5 linked regions of the Sus scrofa genome follow. The protein of the gene in region 1 binds, or shares a complex with, the protein of each later gene. Links are inferred from orthologs where the notes say so. Each region holds a gene or a part of one and is shown in the gene's direction. Other genes may lie near its edges. The genes, in order: NEDD4L, YWHAG, AMOT, SMAD7 and SMAD3.

Evidence for each region.
Region 2: the proteins of NEDD4L (region 1) and YWHAG are in contact, whole or in part, in a crystal structure (PDB 6ZC9), measured with the Homo sapiens proteins. The link is inferred for Sus scrofa from reciprocal best matches to the Homo sapiens genes NEDD4L and YWHAG. Residues at the interface, in NP_001138439.1 of Homo sapiens: Pro444, Arg445, Ser446, Leu447, Ser448, Ser449, Pro450; in NP_036611.2 of Homo sapiens: Lys50, Arg57, Arg61, Lys125, Arg132, Tyr133, Gly174, Leu177, Asn178, Val181, Tyr184, Glu185, Leu225, Asn229, Leu232, Trp233.
Region 3: the proteins of NEDD4L (region 1) and AMOT are in contact, whole or in part, in a crystal structure (PDB 7LP3), measured with the Homo sapiens proteins. The link is inferred for Sus scrofa from reciprocal best matches to the Homo sapiens genes NEDD4L and AMOT. Residues at the interface, in NP_001138439.1 of Homo sapiens: Lys202, Asp204, Leu206, Arg208, Tyr210, Val212, Asn213, His214, Arg217, Thr218, Thr219, Gln220, Trp221; in NP_001106962.1 of Homo sapiens: His235, Arg236, Gly237, Pro238, Pro239, Pro240, Glu241, Tyr242, Pro243, Phe244, Met247.
Region 4: the proteins of NEDD4L (region 1) and SMAD7 are in contact, whole or in part, in an NMR structure (PDB 2LTY), measured with the Homo sapiens proteins. The link is inferred for Sus scrofa from reciprocal best matches to the Homo sapiens genes NEDD4L and SMAD7. Residues at the interface, in NP_001138439.1 of Homo sapiens: Arg394, Asp396, Lys398, Arg400, Tyr402, Val404, Asn405, His406, Arg409, Thr410, Thr411, Thr412, Trp413; in NP_005895.1 of Homo sapiens: Glu203, Glu205, Ser206, Pro207, Pro208, Pro209, Tyr211, Ser212, Arg213, Tyr214, Pro215, Asp217.
Region 5: the proteins of NEDD4L (region 1) and SMAD3 are in contact, whole or in part, in an NMR structure (PDB 2LB2), measured with the Homo sapiens proteins. The link is inferred for Sus scrofa from reciprocal best matches to the Homo sapiens genes NEDD4L and SMAD3. Residues at the interface, in NP_001138439.1 of Homo sapiens: Glu392, Glu393, Arg394, Lys398, Gly399, Arg400, Tyr402, Val404, Asn405, His406, Arg409, Thr410, Thr411, Trp413; in NP_005893.1 of Homo sapiens: Glu178, Thr179, Pro180, Pro181, Pro182, Gly183, Tyr184, Leu185, Ser186, Glu187, Asp188.

What each region holds. Positions count from the first base shown.
Region 1 is NC_010443.5:162,513,970-162,518,414, reverse strand, and holds the start of NEDD4L (E3 ubiquitin-protein ligase NEDD4-like), read left to right. Parts: upstream 1-1,595; 5' UTR 1,596-4,445. UniProt on the Homo sapiens protein: E3 ubiquitin-protein ligase that mediates the polyubiquitination of lysine and cysteine residues on target proteins and is thereby implicated in the regulation of various signaling pathways including autophagy, innate immunity or DNA repair.
Region 2 is NC_010445.4:10,018,752-10,021,394, forward strand, and holds part of YWHAG (14-3-3 protein gamma), read left to right. Parts: intron 1-1,147; coding exon 1,148-1,804; 3' UTR 1,805-1,812; intron 1,813-2,643. UniProt on the Homo sapiens protein: Adapter protein implicated in the regulation of a large spectrum of both general and specialized signaling pathways. Binds to a large number of partners, usually by recognition of a phosphoserine or phosphothreonine motif.
Region 3 is NC_010461.5:92,627,223-92,630,868, reverse strand, and holds part of AMOT (angiomotin), read left to right. Parts: intron 1-12; 5' UTR 13-74; coding exon 75-946; intron 947-1,015; exon of another isoform or gene 1,016-3,646.
Region 4 is NC_010443.5:98,539,462-98,543,907, reverse strand, and holds the start of SMAD7 (mothers against decapentaplegic homolog 7), read left to right. Parts: upstream 1-1,592; coding exon 1,593-2,205; intron 2,206-2,229; exon of another isoform or gene 2,230-2,767; coding exon of another isoform or gene 2,768-2,840; intron 2,841-2,846; exon of another isoform or gene 2,847-3,151; intron 3,152-3,545; coding exon 3,546-3,599; intron 3,600-4,446. UniProt on the Homo sapiens protein: Antagonist of signaling by TGF-beta (transforming growth factor) type 1 receptor superfamily members; has been shown to inhibit TGF-beta (Transforming growth factor) and activin signaling by associating with their receptors thus preventing SMAD2 access.
Region 5 is NC_010443.5:165,109,921-165,113,566, forward strand, and holds part of SMAD3 (mothers against decapentaplegic homolog 3), read left to right. Parts: intron 1-1,822; coding exon 1,823-2,035; intron 2,036-3,646. UniProt on the Homo sapiens protein: Receptor-regulated SMAD (R-SMAD) that is an intracellular signal transducer and transcriptional modulator activated by TGF-beta (transforming growth factor) and activin type 1 receptor kinases.

The sequences.
Region 1 (4,445 bases):
CACAAGTTGTGTTCTCTGTACCTCATTCCATTTTCCATTGTGAAGCAGCCTGGGCTTAGTGGACCTGGGACCCTTCTCTAGCCTTAGCACTTAGAACCATTCTGACCCTGGAGAAGCTACCTGAGGACTCACACTCCCCTCTGGCTCCTTATCTCCCACTAGAAGAGAAGAATCTTCACTTGATAGGCTTGTTTCTAGGATTTATGTGCATTAATAGAAATGACAACACTTCCCACAACATCTCACACATGTGGTTGGTCCTTAACGAAATGACACTTGAGTGTGAATGATGATTCCTGCTATTTCAGTGAAGTCTGGGTGAAGAGACAGAAAGAAGCAAAAAGACATCACCTAGAATTCCCGTTGTGGCTCAGCAGTAATGAACCCGACTGATATCCATGAGGACACGGGTTCAGTCCCTGGCCTTGCTCAGTGGGTTAAGAATCTGGCATTGCTGTGAGCTGTGGTGTAGGCTGGCAGATACAGCTCTGATTGGACCCCTAGCCTGGGAACTTCCATATGCTGCAGGTGCAGCCCGAAAAAGACAAACAAAAACAAAAGCAAAAACCAGACATGGCCTAGTGGCTCTGACACTGACCCCGCAGTTGCTGGAAACAGAACCATCTTTTATTTCCTTGTCTCTTTAATGGTCCGGAGAGTGGGCTTTGGAGACGAGCAGGCTAGACCTGATGGGGATCCTGGTTGCCCTGCATACCAGCTATGGGCTCTGGGGCAAGTTAGTTAACCCTTCTGGTCTCGGCTTCTCATTTGTAAAAATCGGGGTGACAATTATACATCATAGGGTTGCTTTGAGAATAAATGAGATGATGTATTTTTGATATTTAATAAGAAGATAGTGCCTAAAAAGGAAACATGCAATAGGAATGTTTTGTTTTGCTTTTTTTAACTATTTACATGCTTTTACTGTTTTATTCTTTTTTTTTTTTTATCATTGCTGTTATTTTTAGGCCTTAGAGGTTTCCTCGGACATAGACCTTTGTGAGGATGTAGCCTTGATCTACAGGCATGAGGATGCCTTTTTAGCGGAGACTTAGGAACTTTTAAAAATAAAAGTTTATCTAGAAAAATAAATTTAAAAGAAACTGTTTAGAAATATCCTTTCTCGCATTAGAAAAGTGACTTAAACCATTTTCTCCTTCTTATAGGCCTAAATATTAGGTGTAAAATAATATAGCGATCAATCATAGAAAACTTGATTTAGTATATAGAGGATTTTCATAAGAGCAGATTGCTTATATTGTACAACTGATTTGAGTGCATTAAAAAGCATTTTATTCTTTCAGTCTCTTTTTTCATTCGTTGAATTATTTCTGCTCATTTTAAAAGTATTATCTGGGAGTTCCCTGGTGGCTCAGTGAGTTAAGGATCCAGCATTGTCACTGCTGTGGCTCAGGTCCAGTCCCTGGCCCCAGAACTTCCACATGCCTCAGAATAAATCAATAGTAACAATTATTATTTTTGTCCCTTACAGGTAAACCCATCTAATCACAGACTCTTGTTTGAAGTATTTGATGAAAATAGATTGGTAAGTGGTTCCTGATTTTTAATTTTTGCTTCATTTTTTAAAAATTGAATTTTCAGCACATCTTTAAAAAGTCTATATGTGTTTTATTTCTCACAGCATACATGTCCCTCAAAAAGACTATTTTTGTCCCATTACTAGTTTAATGTTCGTAATTCAAACAAATATTTTTGTGTGGGTAGGACAAAATTTATTTGTACCTGTGTAAGTTTTTAATCATAGTTAATATTCATGACCATCACACTGGTGGTATATCAAGCCATATATGCTTATACTCCTCTGTTGGGGATACAAAGAGGTGGGCAAATCTCATTACTCATGGAAATAAACCTTTCAGGATTTTTATATGTAAGCCAGACTTTGAGACTGTGACACGTTCAATAGTGAATCTCTTTGGGATGACAGAAATCTAATTAACAGTATATAGCAAAAAGTGAATCTATATTTAGCAGGTAAAATTAAGCTGTATTTTAAAAGCGGTGCTTTCTCAAGGGAAATTCAAAGAAAGTACCTTCAAAGAACCAGAGGTATGCCTAAGGCATAAAACTAGTACTAATATGTTGTATAGATTATAGGTTAAAAATACTTATATATGGTTGCCTGCATGAGGCAAATTCAAGTTTTGCTTTTTGGAACTTTCTGGAATTTTTTTTCTAGATATTTTTGATTTGCAGTTGGTTGAAACCGTGAATACAGAACCTGCAGATGTGGGGGGGGGAGTCCAACCATGTATTAATTGCTTAAAGGAAATGTTATTATGAATCCTTCCTTCTGCAGAAGTCACCTGAAACTCCAAGTTTTTGAATAGCTTGAGTTTAATAGAATATTTGATCTGGAGGAGGCTTATAATACAACTCATTTAATTCCCTGTCCTTGCATGTGAGAGAACTGAGATCTAGAGCCTTGATGTAATTACATACCTGCCCGTCTATTAAGTCTCAGGCCATTGGTGGTGAATAGCCAGGCCTTAACCCTTAGTATTGAACCTAGGAGTATATTTGATCTCCTATGCCTGGAATTATTCTCCAAATTAGAAAGCAACAGATGCTGGCCTACCATCCTGATATATTTTCTATTCAAATATACGGATTCTCGGCGGCTTTGCATTGAACTTGACATTTTATACCTTGGGTGATGCTTAGTAGTACTGAATAGCTAAATCAGTTTTGCCCGGTGCACGAAGTTATTTTGCTGTTAAATCAAATGAGAAATTCTGCTTGAGGGTGTAGTTCTTGGTGCTCCATCTCCTGTCCAGAAACACCGATTGGGCAGAGTTCAGCAGAGTCCCAGAGTCCACAGATGGAGCCACAGATTAATCCTTACTCTCTCTTTTATTGTGTCTTACAACATTTCTTCAAGGTGAAGAAATGGTCAGCTTTGTGGAAAAAACTGTCTCTTGTCAGATGTGTTTTAACTCATTTAACTCTTCTATTGAAAGAAATTCTCTGTAAAAAATGTTTCCCATTTCCCTTATCTAAAAGAATCACTGTTGTTGAGAGGACCTTGCCATGAGCCTAAAACTTATACTTCCAAGCCGAATAGGGCTTTGAATGCAGAGCTCTAAGAAATCTCATGTGAAACTTTATCTGAAAAACTGTTTTATGTACCTAGCTTTGCCCCAGGCTGTCTGCATCCTTGTTACTATGCGTGAATGCTGCTGCTGGTGGTTTTTTCTTTGTTGGCTATTAATCCAGCAGAGACACTACGTGACTATAGTGGTACTTGGCAGTTTTCACATTAAACAAACTAGCTTCCATTTCTCTCATAGAGATCATTTTTGGCATTTAAAACACATGCCTTTAGAAAACAGGTTTGGATGTATATAAACACAAGGTTAATCCTCCACACTCTGGACTCCAGAGCTGTTGACAAAGTCAACATATATTAAAATAAACTTTTTGTCACTTTTTGCAGCTTGGTATTCCCACATCCCTTCCCTTCTTACTTCCTCCGAAATAAGCCTCTTTGTTAATAACTCGTGTTTCAGGACAATGAAAAAGAGTATGTTTAAAACACTCAGAATATATCCAAGTTAGCTACAAATCCGATGACAGCTTTTTGAACGTGGACTTTCACTTTTATTACTTAGGTCTTTTTTGACCCTTCACAAAAATGTCAAGATTCTATGTTTCCCAACTGGGCTGATATTGCTGGCTTCTTACTGGAAAACAGTCAGCCAGCTCCAGTCAGCCTTTTTTTCCTGCATGGTATTGAAATTAACTTATTACAGAAACCACATGCATACCCTTTAATTTTCCTTCTCCTTTTTTTTGGGGCGGGGGTATTGTTTTCTCTCCTATCTGGCATATGGGAGAGAATGTTTTCTCCAGCTGGGTTCTTTTTCTCTGGTCACTAACATGTCCGAGAATCCTATTATGTGTGAGATGGTGTGCCGCCAGCACCTCCCTCCCCCATCGTTTAAATGAAAAACGTCGTAACCAGAGGCAGACCACTGCTGGGGAGTGTTGTAAGCGGTGCCCCTTTCCACTTAGCTATTTTGTTACTTGTAGGTCATGGTCTAATTATTTAGCATTAAATGGCGGGGTGTGTAATCGTATTTATAGTACGTTTTATTAGTTTGCATTCCATCATGGTAGTGTGGTGATATCATAAATAACAGGGCAACATAACATCCGATTGCTGGAGAAAGGGTTTTCCTGCAGCCCCGGCATTTTTACTCAACAACGTTTGGTTTCGTGGGAAAGGTGGTGGGGTAGGTGGGGGAATACTATGGGCGCTTTTCTGTGTTAGGAGCCGGGTCTCTCTCCTGCATTGGTTGGAGAGTCCCGGGGCCCTGCTTGGTTCAGAAAGAAGTGTCCTGTGAGCGCCAATGCGGTTAGATTTATAGCAGCATGGCTCGGAGTGTGTTTGCTGCCTTAGTCAGCTGTGAGAGCTCCCTGCT
Region 2 (2,643 bases), on another chromosome or scaffold:
TGCATACCTGGCATTGTCATGGCAGTGGCTCAGGTCTCTGCTGTGGTGAGAGTTTGATTCCTGGCTTGGGAACTTCCACATGTTGCAAGCATGGCCAAGAAAAATAAATAAGTACAATGGAAAGAAGCATTCATATCTGTATGAATGGGTCACTTTGCTGTACAGCAGAAATTGACAGAACATTATAAATCAACTATAACAGAAAAAAATAAAAAGGGAAAAAAAAGAAGCATTCATTCCTATTGGTCTCCTCAACTCAGAAGTGCTTTTTTTGCTCACCTCTCCATCTTTTTGCTAATTGTATTCAAGTATTTATTCTCTGAGTTGCAAATATCTCAGTAATTATAGAGTCAATCCCATGCCCCCAATTTTTACTTTCTTTCTGAGGTTTGTAATTTATATTATCCTTTTTGCTTTTTCGGCCACCCAGTGGCACATGGAATTCTCAGGCCAGGGATCAAATCTGAGCTGCAGTTGTGACCTACGCTGCAGCTGCGGGAGGTGGGATCCTTTAACCCACTGTGCCAGGCCCGGGGATTGAGCCTGCATCTGCATCCTGGTGCTGCAGACACGGCACTGACCCCACTGCACCACAGCAGGAACTCTAGTTTATACTAACGTAAGAACAGAAAAGTTTCTTTGTTTCTCAAAAGTCAACTTTGAAGTTGACTCGATATATTCTCACCCAGCATGCAAGATACTCTCATCCAGAGGGCTGGGACTGAAATTTGGCAGGTCAAGCTTAGAAGCTGTTATTCCATTTTCTTTAAAAAACTGATGCTGTATGGAAGCCATCTCTAGTTAAAGTCCTGAGGATTGGTATCTATGTAATGTTGCATGAGAGCTGTTGACCTTTTGTAATGTAGATCGAGATTTGGTTTGTCATCTTACGGGAGAGCTACGTGACACGTGTGTGTGTCCTTTTCTAGGAAGGAAGCAGGAGTTGAGGCACCAGTGATCCAGCTGCAGTTTTTTTTCCTTGGTTGTTGCTCGTCCCACCTCCGTCCCCCTTCCATAGAGCTGCACGGCCTAACTTCTCTGACTGTTAATGACCTTAGCAGCTGATGTTTTAGCGGCATAAAGAAGTGATTAATCCAGCTGACATCATCTGTACCGTAACAACTCTGTCTTCTTTCCTCCTTAATAGGTGACAGAGCTGAATGAGCCACTGTCCAATGAAGAAAGAAACCTTCTCTCTGTGGCTTACAAGAATGTAGTCGGGGCGCGCCGTTCTTCCTGGAGGGTCATTAGTAGCATTGAGCAGAAGACCTCTGCAGATGGCAATGAGAAGAAGATAGAGATGGTCCGTGCTTACCGTGAAAAAATAGAGAAGGAGTTGGAGGCCGTATGTCAGGATGTGCTGAGCCTGCTGGATAACTACCTGATCAAGAATTGCAGCGAGACCCAGTATGAGAGCAAAGTGTTCTACCTGAAGATGAAAGGGGACTATTACCGCTACCTGGCCGAAGTAGCCACTGGAGAGAAGAGGGCGACCGTCGTGGAGTCGTCTGAGAAGGCCTATAGCGAAGCCCATGAGATCAGCAAGGAGCACATGCAGCCCACTCACCCCATTAGATTAGGCCTGGCCCTTAACTACTCCGTTTTCTACTATGAGATCCAGAACGCCCCGGAGCAAGCCTGCCACTTGGCCAAGACCGCTTTCGATGACGCCATCGCCGAGCTTGACACCCTCAACGAGGACTCCTACAAGGACTCCACGCTCATCATGCAGCTCCTCCGCGACAACCTCACGCTCTGGACAAGCGATCAGCAAGACGACGACGGTGGAGAAGGCAACAATTAAGGCCCCAGGTGGACTGGCAGCGCACGCTGATGCTACTACTGCAGTCTTTATTTTTTCCCATGAGTTGGGGGTCGGGTGGGGGAGGGAAAGGGAGGGATGACCTTCCTAGGGAGAAACCCACGACCTGTCCTGTCTTTGATCGCCTCTTTGACATTTTTGCCAAAATACCACTAGTGGAAAGTCAGGCTAGCTGTGCTGGTATTGGAATAGCAGCCTCACACTGGCTTATGGACTGTTCTGTAGATTAATGCAAGTGGAGCTGTCTTTAATTTAACTTATTGCTAGAACATAGGGTTTAAAGATGAATTGAAAACTTAAATGGAATGGCCCTCATTCAATAAGTTCTGTGGTTCCAGTAAGGATTTTTATGTACATATGCTCTTGTCTTAAGTTTTGGGTACTTTCTGTCTCATCTGTTTTAGCTGTGCATTTTTTTTTCAGGGTGTACTCTACCAGACATGGAATAGTTTAAATCCCAAGCTGATAGACTTAGAACATAAGGTATATTTATCCTTATGGGTTAGGCGTTGCCAGTTTTCAGAAGTTCCTGATTGGTTGACAGTATTAACACTAAATTGCAGTTTACAGTATTTCTACATTACAGCCATATGTAACATCAAGCCATTGATTGTGTATTTTTCTTTACTGTGGCTTGTACGTCCTTATTCAGCCTTATCCAGGTTGGTTTTGCTGTTCTCTCTCTCCTAGGCCGGAAGGCTTGCCTGAGGAGAATCAGAGCTACTTTAGGTTTTGGTTAACAGGTGCTTGGCAGGTGGCTGTGGGATTTTTTTTGGTCCCTTCTTCTTAACTTAAACCCACCACAAAAATTATTAATCACT
Region 3 (3,646 bases), on another chromosome or scaffold:
TCCCCTTCCCAGGTCAAGGGCAGCCCAGGTGCCCAATTTCTCTCTCTCTTCACAAGGCACCACCAGCAATAGAGATGAGAAATTCTGAAGAACAGCCAAGTGGAGGAACCACGGTTTTGCAGCGTCTGCTACAAGAGCAGCTTCGCTATGGCAATCCTAATGAAAACCGCAACTTGCTTGCCATACACCAGCAAGCCACAGGGAACGGACCTCCTTTCCCCAGTGGCAGTGGGAACCCAGGCCCTCAGAATGATGTGTTGAGCCCCCAAGACCACCACCAACAACTCGTGGCTCATGCTGCTCGACAAGAACCCCAGGGGCAGGAAATCCAGTCAGAAAATATCATCATGGAGAAGCAGCTTTCCCCTCGAATGCAGAATAATGAAGAACTCCCGACCTATGAAGAAGCCAAGGTCCAGTCCCAGTACTTTCGGGGCCAGCAGCATGCCAGCGTTGGAGCTGCCTTCTACGTCACCGGAGTGACCAACCAGAAGATGAGGACTGAGGGCCGCCCATCAGTTCAGCGACTTAATCCTGGAAAGATGCACCAGGATGAAGGACTCCGAGACCTTAAGCAGGGACACGTTCGCTCCCTGAGTGAACGGCTCATGCAGATGTCACTGGCCACCAGTGGAGTTAAGACCCATCCACCTGTCACCAGCGCTCCCCTCTCCCCACCACAACCCAATGACCTCTACAAGAATCCCACAAGTTCCAGTGAATTCTACAAGGCCCAGGGGCCACCTCCCAGCCAGCATAGCCTGAAGGGCATGGAACACCGAGGCCCCCCACCAGAGTATCCCTTCAAGGGCATGCCACCCCAATCTGTAGTGTGCAAGCCCCAAGAGCCAGGGCACTTCTATAGTGAGCATCGTCTGAACCAGCCAGGGAGAACAGAGGGGCAACTGATGAGGTATCAGCATCCCCCTGAATATGGAGCAGCCAGGTAAGAGAGTTCCCTTTCTGTCATTTCCTGACCTCATCCCCAACCAGCTTATGCTGTGTGTTGGGAATCTGGAGGGAAGGAATGGGCAGGTGTTTGGTGTAATAAACTCTGCGATGCATGGCTGGCCCCTAGCTTGATAAATTTCCTGCCAACCTGAATCTCTAGCCTCCTCAGTCCTTATTAGTCCAGTATTAACATTCCTTTGACTTTATAGGTTGAGCGTGGCCCCAGCTGCCTAGTGGCAGGACAGGAGCACAAGTCTTGATTTCAGCAGCTTTTTGCTGTCTGGTCTTCTAGGATCTTCAAGGAAGAGGCAGTGTTCCTCTTTTTGTGCATTATTTAGGCCTTCTTTGAAAGGAAGTAAATGATCTTAATGCACTTTAGTCTGGAACATCCCATCCCTTTCATCTCTTCTCCTCCACAAAACTGTCTTCACGAATTTTTGTGAACAAATCTTCCTGCAGAATTAGTGTGATTCTCTCAGACACTAAACAAACATTCAGATATCATTGTTGGGAGAACTGCATACGTGCAGGTTCAGAATGTTACTAGCCTTGTACTTCCTTGCAGGTCATGAAGTCTAGACTGCTTCATCTTTCTTCCATCAAGAGTGTGTTAGTTGCTGGTGATACTTTTAAACACCTAAGTTAAATTTGCCTCATACCGTACAGAAGTTTTGGTCAGAAGCTAAAATGCAGAAGAAAAAAATATTTGTATGACTTCTATCAACTTCAGTAGGACTCTTTTTTTATATTCATTAATCCCTAAATATGCTTCTGGATTATTCAGGGGCCCATTAACTCATGGCCGTATCAACCAGACCTTATGATTCCATGATTGTGTTCATTGTTCTTATTGTTAGGACTAGTGCCATGTCTACAACCAGGAGTATTTCAGCATATGGGACAGAGGGGACGTTTCAACCTTGGGCAAAAATGATGGCCGTTCTGTGTGGTATTCCTAATTACCATGGTTAATCATGGGTGGCTTTTTTCCATTGACAGCCCCGATGGATCTCCTTGATGTCTGACTTTTTGCCTCCTGTTCCCTTCTCACTCATTTCGGAAAGAGCCTCTTGGCTTGTAGTATAGTGGGTGACTCAGTAGAGAAAGAAGGCAGTCAGGGGGGTGGAGTAGGGTGAAGGTAAGAGAATGCACCTGGCATTTCCTGGTATTTCTTTTTTTTTCCCCACCTCCCGGTTTTTTTAGCCAGAGGCAATTCACTTTGGACTCCACCCCTAACTTTACCAGTTTAGGATTTTTTTTCCTTAACCCAAGTTGATTTCCTAACCTTTTTCAACCTTCTCTGTGCAGCTTTCAAAGGGCAGGAGCTTAACTTCTGATAAGTGGCTTGGAACAGGAAATGGGGTAACGGACAGGGCCCTTCCGGTTTAAATGAGCAAGAAGTCAATTCCCATCTGCCCACTGAAACGGAAGACCCAGGCAGGGTGTTGGTCCATTGGACTGCTTAGCTTAGTGGAAACCCATCCAAGCCAGCAAAATGTCAATGAAGCTGGGGGGTGGTGGTTTTGCTCTTCTCATGAGCATAGAAGAGTCTCTGGGGCTCCCTCCTGTATGTGGATAGGGTGTACCCACTTATGGCCTTATGGGAGGGGAGTATGTTGGCTGGGGTATGGAACAGGATCCAAGCCCCGCCCAGCCCATGTCCCGCCCTCCCAGGAAAGCTATTTTCAGAACTCATTCACCAGTATTGTTTGTGATCTGAAATGACTCCCACAGTGTTTGAAGCTAGTTGGAAAAGCCCTTTGATCTGCCTAAATAAATACTAAGGAGCCCAAAGAGGGATTTTTTTTTTCTTCCCATACTCATTAAACCACCAGAGAAATTTAGCTGCCTATATTTGACAGGAAGATATGTGTATTTTCTCCTCCCTCCTAGGTTATCTGTGGATTGCTCTTCCTCTCCCCAAAAGCAGCAGAGCCGTGCTGATTACCCTCTCTTGAGCGGCACTTAAATACACAGGTTTGCTCTCAGAGTTGATTTTTTTTTTCTTCTGTGGGAGAGGAGTACGTTCAATGAATAATCAAACTGAAAACAATCCTAATCAGAAGATGCTCTTGGTGAATTTTGGGTTGGCAGCAGACAAACCGGCAATAAAATTTTTTGTAGAGCCTGGGGTGAGGGTGTGGCACCTATTGACAAATTACTGGCGAAGGGAGGTTGTTGAATTGCTTTCCAGAAGTGAACCACTTTTAGGTGGTGGCTCCATTTTTCCTCCTTTATTTCCTTTAACCAACTGGCTAGACAGTGTGTACCTTTCCAGGTAACTGTAGCCAGAACTAAACAATTAGAAGACGAAATCCTTAGTTCTTAATCCATAAATTGCAGATCAGGATGCAGAGTAAGCTCTTTGAACAAATTGTCGTTCAAAAAGCCTTTGTTGGCCTTTGGAGGTGCCGTGAAATGCTAGAGATTTGCTGTTCAATTGAACAAAATGTTACAAACAATCTTTTTTTATTACTTCATCTTCCCTATGCCCTCCTCCCTACTTAAAAAGTAAATATCCTGAATGCCCAGAACTCCAGATGGGAAATAAGGCCAGAGCCATCTGAAGAATCAAACATTTTCTGAATCTCTGTCTTTCTAAGTGCCAAGCCTTTTCTGCATCCGGGGTTTATATATTTATCAACTGCTTTTAAAAATTAAATCCTCTCTGTTTGTAAAGCAGCCACCTCCTTTC
Region 4 (4,446 bases), about 64 Mb from region 1:
GCCCAGGGCACACTCGCTCGCCTGCTCGGCGCACGGAGGATCCTGTCCCCGAACCGCGCCAGGCGAGCCAGCCGGGCGCCGTGCTCTGTCCGCTCGCCGCGCGGGAGAGAGCTGCCCGAGACAGAGCCAGCCCGCCGGCGCCGAGCTGCCGAGCGCCTGGCCCAGGAGTCCCTGGTGCGGCGCGGCGAGCCCCCGGCGGCGGCAGAAGGACTCGAGCGCCAGGAGAGGGCGGACGGGGGACAAGGAGGCTCCCGGGCGCGACGAGGAGAGTCTCGGAGGAGAAGGCGGCGTGAGGGACACCGGGGCCTCCAGCCGACGCAGCCTTGTCGGGGCGAGCAGCCCATAAGGGGAGCCCCGGCTCCCAGGGGAGGGGACACCGGCGGCCCCCGCGCTAGCGAGCGGAGGGCGAGAGCGCGCGACCCGCCAGGGGCCCGCCGCGGCCGCCGCGCCGCCCTCCCCCGCGCTGTCAGCCCCGCGGGGCGCAGCCGCCGCCGCAGCATCTTCTGCCCCTGCGCCCCCGCCAGCCCCGAGGAAGTCCCCGCCGAGGACTAGGGCCCCCGGGAGCTCAGGAGGAAAGACCAGAGACTCCTCCAAATCACCCAGATGCGAAGGATTGAAACAGCCTAGCCAAAGCTTTCTGTGGATTAAAAAAATACACGGCTTTTTTTTTTTTTCCCCCGAAGAAAAGGAGAGGAAGACCAGTGGGGCTCTGCAAGGAAAAAGGGGAATGTAACTCGTGGATACCTTTTTTCCACCCCTCAGACGTCTTGTTCTACTTTGTAAACATTTTCTTTTTTTAAACCCCAGCTCCAGCCAGACGCCCCCAGACCTCCGGGGTGCGAGGAGGTGGTGGTTTTCATTTTGGGCTTTGCGTATTTGGTTCTTAGATTTTGAGAGAACCTCCTTATTTCGCCAAACATCTCCTGCGGGGTGAAGTCCACTCGGCCCCCTCCCCCGAGTCTTCGTGTGCACGGAATTCAAGGAGATCCGGTTACTAAGGATATAGAAGAAAAAAATAAATCGCGTGCCTGCCTTTTTTTTTTTTTTTTTAATTGCCTCCTTCTCCCCACCCCCAAATTAAGTTGCTTAGGAAGGGGAAAAGAGGCTTTTTCCTCCCTCCGGCAGCCCAGCCGAACGCCTTTCTTTTTTTGCCCCCGCGGATCTTCCATGTAGGAAGCCAAGGCTGGCGAGCCCGACACTCGGGAGCCGCTGCGGGGGGGCCTCTTTTTGGGGAGGCGCCGACCGGGGTAGGCTTCGCCGCCCCCAGGGAAGCGGCGGCCGCGTTCCTCCGGGGTGCGCCGGGGCCCGAGAGCAGCGCGCGGCTCGGGCCGCGCGGGGTGGGGCAGCCGGAGCGCAGGCCCCCGAGCCCCGGCGGGCGCCTCCGGGCCCCCGCGCGCCCCCCGGCCTCCGGGAGACTGGCGCATGCCACGGAGCGCCCCTCGGGCCGCCGCCGCTCCTGCCCGGGCCCCTGCTGCTGCTGCTGTCGCCTGCGCCTGCTGCCCCAACTCGGCGCCCGACTTCTTCATGGTGTGCGGAGGTCATGTTCGCTCCTTAGCCGGCAAACGACTTTTCTCCTCGCCTCCTCGCCCCGCATGTTCAGGACCAAACGATCTGCGCTCGTCCGGCGTCTCTGGAGGAGCCGTGCGCCCGGCGGCGAGGACGAGGAGGAGGGCGCGTGGGGAGGCGGTGGAGGAGGCGAGCTGCGGGGAGAAGGGGCGACGGACGGCCGGGCACATGGGGCCGGTGGCGGCGGCGCAGGCAGGGCTGGCTGCTGCCTGGGCAAGGCGGTGCGAGGTGCCAAAGGTCACCACCATCCCCACCCCCCAGCCGCGGGCGCCGGCGTGGCCGGGGGCGCCGAGGCGGATCTGAAGGCGCTCACGCACTCGGTGCTTAAGAAACTGAAGGAACGGCAGCTGGAGCTGCTGCTCCAGGCCGTGGAGTCCCGCGGCGGTACGCGCACGGCGTGCCTCTTGCTGCCCGGCCGCCTGGACTGCAGGCTGGGCCTGGGGGCGCCTGCCGGCTCACAGCCCGCGCAGCCGCCCTCGTCCTACTCGCTCCCCCTCCTGCTGTGCAAAGTGTTCAGGTGGCCGGATCTCAGGCATTCCTCGGAAGTCAAGAGGCTGTGTTGCTGTGAATCTTACGGGAAGATCAACCCCGAGCTGGTGTGCTGCAACCCCCATCACCTTAGCCGACTCTGCGAACTAGGTAAGAAGTTGTTCTGCGCCCACCCACCTCTCCCCTTGGCGCTCAAGTAGTGAAAGAAAAGCCCCCTTCGGCTGTGTGTTTGTGCAGCTGTCTCGCCAGAGGGGAGAGTACATCCCCTCCTGGGAGAAGACTAGAGGGACAAAGGTAGAGAAGGGACTGGGGGGAACCTGGAAAGGCATTCCCTGGGGGTTCCCTTACAGTTTTTTTCTCCTCCTCTGTTTCCCCTAGCGGGGTTTTGGGCACTGCTCATGCACACACTCTACAGACCGGGGGTTAAAAATTAGATAGATTTCTCATTTCCGGATCAACCAAGGGGTGCAGAGAGAAGTGTGTGGGGGGGAGGAGGGGGGGTCACGCCTCCCCTGCACCCGGAAAGGCGTTGAGGTGTGTGGCCGAGTTGGATTCGGTCCAAGCCCGCCAAGGAAGGCTGGGAGAAGCAGTTGTAAAGACTGGAACGTCTCTGCCTGCTCCTTTAGTAAATAAGGAGAGTCCTGTCGGGCACAAGTGGCTGGGAAAGTGCCCTGTCCGGAGTAGCTTTGTGTTTTGGGGCGAAGAGAGTTTGATGGGCGGCGGCGCTGGATATCTGCTCTCAACTCTGCCAGCCCAGGGTGGAAGAGGACAAGCAGTCAGGAGAAGTTGGGTGCCCTCTGCTTTTTCCTTTCTTCCTGCACAGGAAAGCACAGTTCCTGACTGCAGAAGGGTCGGGCCCCAGCCCTCCCTGACGACACGGCCCCTTAACAGCTCTGGGGCCTGGGCTTCTCAGCTGAGATCCCAGCCTCCTGCATTGCTTTCCTTTTCTCTGCATATTTGTGTGGGGCGGGGGTGCACCCGGGGCGTTCACAAATCCAAGTTCACCAGCGGACTTGGGGTAAACCTCGCGGGTGGGCTGGGAGAGGGGAGCCCCGAGTTCCCCCGCGCGGTGTGGAGAGGAGCTGCGGTGGCCAAGGTGAATTTGCACCCCTGGGGGACGAGTCAGGGTGGGGGGGCGGCGGCGGGAGTCGGATCTGAAGTTCTGGGACCGAGCGGGGGCTTGGTCGCCCCCCGCCCTGTGAACTGTGAAGTGCCCGGCCCCGGTAGAGCCGGTGGTTTCCAGCCGGGCCGGCCGAGCGCGGCGGCGGCGGCCGCAGACGTGGAGGAGCGGAGCGCCGAGGCTGGCGCCAGGCGGCCTCTTTTGTTTATCTGACAGCTAAATATCAAGGCAATCACCGCCTCGCGGCCCTGCCTCCAACCCCCACAGCTAAGACAAACAGTTGGGCTAAAAGAATGCCTCTGTTATCATAAGTTTCTATCTCTCTTTCTCATGGCTCGGCCTTTATTTTCTCTTTCTTTTTTAATTCCAGAGTCTCCCCCTCCTCCTTACTCCAGATACCCGATGGATTTTCTCAAACCAACTGGTGAGTAGAGGGTTTTAAATATATCCTTCCTATCTTAGGTTAGAAATGGAGTCTCTAGAACTCGGATTTTTTATGTCTAGGCAGCGGCTTGGGGAGACCCTGGGCTTGCCCCAAGGTGGTTATAGGTTTCCTCTGTGGGAAGTTTGGTGGATTTTTTTCTGTTTTTGTTGTGACTGAACCTGGAGATAATATGTGTGTGTATAGATACAATATTATGCATGTATGTGTTTTTCTTTTTTTTTTTTTCAAAGATGTTTCCTAGATATGCATTACATTTTGTTCCTTTTTTCATGTATTTGCACTCCACAACCCAAGTTGGCTCAGCTTTTAAACACGTGGAATTTGATCCTTGCAGAAGTGTCTTGGGAGCCAAAGAGGACAGGTTGATGGGAAACTTTGGAGACGTTATGAGTGCCAGAAGTATCAGTGGGAAGAATGGATAGCTTGGTGGGAGGGAAGACAGTTTAAAAAGGTACAGAGAGGTCTTTGGGGTAAGCGAATTTGAACCTTTAAGACGTAAAGACGACAGGCCCTTCCCTTCCTGGTTTTCTCAGAATTCTTGGTGGGGGCTCTGAAAGTTTTTAGCATAGTTCTGCCTGCCTGTTGCTTTGTCACCAGATGGCTTGGGGCCAGGGCAGAAGCCGCACTTGAGACTGGCACCAGCCCCGTTGCGGTTGTCTGCATTCAACTTCTGACTGGCAGTGCAGGGGCTCACAGTGCCAGGGGAGGCGGGGGGTCCTCAAAGCTGGGACTCAGGGGTGACCACTGGATGGTCCCCTGTATCTTAGAGCCCTATCTTACAGCGAGAGGTCCATTTGTTTGAAAGTATGGATTGTAACTTTGGTCT
Region 5 (3,646 bases), about 2.6 Mb from region 1:
CCAAAGCTCAGTTTGGCTGGCTTGCTCACCAGCATGCAGCAGGTCCGTGCCAAAGCCGAATGTGAACACAAGTCTGTCCAGCCTTGAAGCTTGTGCTCCCTGAGCTGGTCAAACACCCAGGACAGTGATTTTCAACTGCGGCCTATTTTGCCCCCAGAAGACGTCTCTCAGTGTCTGGAGAAGTTTCTTACAGTCACAGCTGGGAGGGTGAGATGGATGTATGTTGCTGGCATCAAGTAGGCAGAGGCTTAGGATGCTGCTGTTGCACATCCCAGAGCACGCAGGATCCCCCCACCCAAGGAAAGAATTATCGTGCCCCAAATTTGCCAAGGCCGAGACCTGATCCAAGTGCCCTCACCCTCCAGCCAACTCTTCACAGCATGTTGAGTGCAGGGGTGTCACCGGTCCGCAGCCCTTCCCCTGTGAGCCAGCCTTCTCTTTGCTCTTAGATGGGATCATGGGCGTAGACCCCAGAAGGAGATCAGGGCCATTTTGCCCTGCAGGGGAACCCAGGCCCCTCCTGGAATAGCTTCTGCTTTATTCTTTCCTGGGCTTTTATACACTTTGTGAGGTCTGGTGAGCTGAGCTTAAGTTCTCATGGGTTCTCGCTCTAGGAAGTTGCCTGGCCGGCGGTGACACGGGTCTCGGGCCAGTGCTGACTTGGCATGGCGAGCTCTCCCATCCTCTCACCAGCTTCCAGAGACACGCCTGAGTAACCATATACGCAACTCTCTATGTATATGTAAGAGCCAGAGTACGTGGTGCAGGCCAGAGGGCTAAGACCAGAATGAGAGCAGCAGACTCTGATTCACCAACAAATAGGGGGATTCGAGGAGGCACAGGGGAAGGACGTGGCCCCGGGAGCAGGACAGGGCAGAGAAGAAGCTGGAAGGGCTGGGCTGGGTGCTGGGGAGCCCTGTCAGAGGGCCGTGGCACTAGTGCAAGTGAAGAATGACGAGGAGGGACCCTGAGGTGAGAAGTGACACAGAGACAGGCAGGGGTACCTGGGCAGGTGTGGAGCCCAGAACAACTGGAGGTGACAGGAAGGCTAGGGCGTCCCTGGAAAGGGAGGTGTGGCTTCGTGTGAGGGGAAACCTCTACTTCAGGAGTTCCCACCTCTTCTGAGAAACAGAACTGCCCCCTCCCAGGACGGCAGTTACTCTGAGGTGCCCTTGACTGAGACCACAGGATGACCTCTAGAAGTTCAGAGTTTCTTTTAGGTGAGTTTGTGTGTTAGCCTCCTGGTTGCTCAACATCTGGATACACTTGGAGGATAGTTTCTATAACAAGAGGCAGGAACCGGGTTTACTCTGCAGATGGTGCCTGGCGCCTGTGTGGTCTTGGACACCAAGCGCAGCGCAGACCCCAGGGCTGCAGCAGCCTTATCGTTTCACAGGCTTGGATGCTGCTGCTCGACAGGAGTTAGCTTTGGAGGGGCGGAGATCAGCATGGGTTACCTCGGGGACCTAGGAAGAGAGGCAGGTGGCGTGGCCTGCCCGCGATAGGCACACCCAGCCTGTCCAGTGTGTCTGTCCAGGGGCTTGGCCTAGCACCTCCCTGAAGACGGCTTCAACCTGAGGCCAGGCCAGGCGGGGCAGGGCCTTTGGAAGCTAAAGCTAAATGAAAAGTGCTTCTCCTGCCACCTGAGTATTTTGTCCCGCTGGCTGCTCCTGCAGGTTTTATCCAGTAAAAGGTACGAGGGTGGGGAGATTATAATGCCCTCTGAGAGGTGGGGAACAGTCTTCCAGAGCAGCCGGCAGACCCCGTCCAGGGGCACGGGGCCTGGGGCGCCACTGACCCAGGGGCTGGCCTGTCTCCTCAGACCTGCAGCCCGTCACCTACTGCGAGCCGGCCTTCTGGTGCTCCATCTCCTACTACGAGCTCAACCAGCGCGTCGGGGAGACATTCCACGCCTCGCAACCGTCCATGACCGTGGACGGCTTCACCGACCCCTCCAACTCGGAGCGCTTCTGCCTGGGGCTGCTCTCCAATGTCAACAGGAATGCGGCTGTGGAGCTGACACGGAGGCACATCGGTGAGGGGCGGTCGAGTTTCCCCCACGACACCCCAGATCCCCAGCCCAGCACAGACCCCTCCAGAATCCGCCACCACTGTGCTGGGCCTCCCCCACCTCCACCCCTCCCCCAAAAGCTCTCTGTCACCTTATTCAGGGGCCAGACAGGTAGAGTTCAGGTTGCTTGATCATTCTCACCCAGAGACAGATATCATCTTTGAAACTTTGAAAGCCACAAGGGAAGATGCTGGACTTTCTGGAAAAAGGCAACTGTGTAATTCTCCTTAATAAAAATACCCTTAAGGGGGAGTACCCGTTGTGGTTCAGTGGTTAACAAACCCGACTAGGATCCTTGAGGACTCAGGTTCAATCCCTGGCCTCACTCAGTGGATTAAGGATCTGGAGTTGCCGTGAGCTATGGTGTAGGTTGCAGACGCAGCTCGGATCTGGCGTGGCTGTGACTGTGGCATAGGCCAGTGGTTACAGCTCTGATTCGAGCCCCCTAGCCTGGGATGCAGAGGGTGCAGCCTTAAAAAGACCAAAAAAAAAAAAAAAAAGAAATACCCTTAAAGTACTGATAAGTGGGTAAGTAGATAGTCCTGGAAAGATGATCTTTGGTTTGTTCATTTCACACAGGATTATCCTAGGAACTTAGAAGAGGTAGAGAGGCAAGTATTGCCCACTGCTGGGTACCACTGCTGCTGCCACTCTGTCTTCCAGCACCCAGCGTGCGGTAAAGCCCACTTAGTTTAGGGAAGATTGAAGCCTTGCTGTGTTGCTTTATTTGCTCATAAAATCATGCTAAGAGTATTCCCAATGTTGTGATCCAGAGTCACCTACAAGAGCCATGGGGATGGTATGGAGATGGTTGGTATTCTGAAACATTGCTCCATGTGCCCAGGGTGGCCAAAGGGGCTCCAGGGCAAACTCGGGAGCCAGGTAGGGCAGTGGGCCACATGACCCAGAGCAGCCCTGCTCTTGTTTGTATTATATCTTGGGCCTTCAGAGATGATTCATTCGGAGAGAGGATTTTACAGTTAAGACAAGTTTGGAAGCCACAGGCCTGGGCCAGGGTGCTCATGTTCCAGGGAAGACCCTGACGGACAGGCAGGGAAGGGCAGAGGCCACACAGCAAGTGTGACACAGTCAGTGGCAAAGAGTCCCTGCTGCTGAGCCTTCATCCTTCCCAGACAGCCTCCCCATTTGTTTTACTTTTTAAAAGATCCTAGATGGCATACACAGGTGTTTACTCACTCACTTTACACTTTTCTCTATTTAAAATATGTCAGAAATTATCAAAACGAGAACAAATGTTTTTGTCCTTTGGGTCTGGGTCTTTCCACCTGTGCCTCTGCCTCCTGATCATTTTTTTGGGAGGGGGCGCACCCATGGCATATGGAAGTTCCCAGGCTAGGAGTCAAATCAGAGCTGTAGCCACTGGCCTGTCACCACAGCCATGCCAGATGTGAGCCGCATCTGACCTACACCACAGCTCACGGCAACACCAGATCCTTAGCTCACTGAGCGAGGCCAGTGATGGAACCTGCGTCATGGATACCAGTCAGATTCGTTTCCGCTGAGCCACGACGGGAACTCCTCTGCCTCCTACTCTTGACTGACATAACGCTGGGG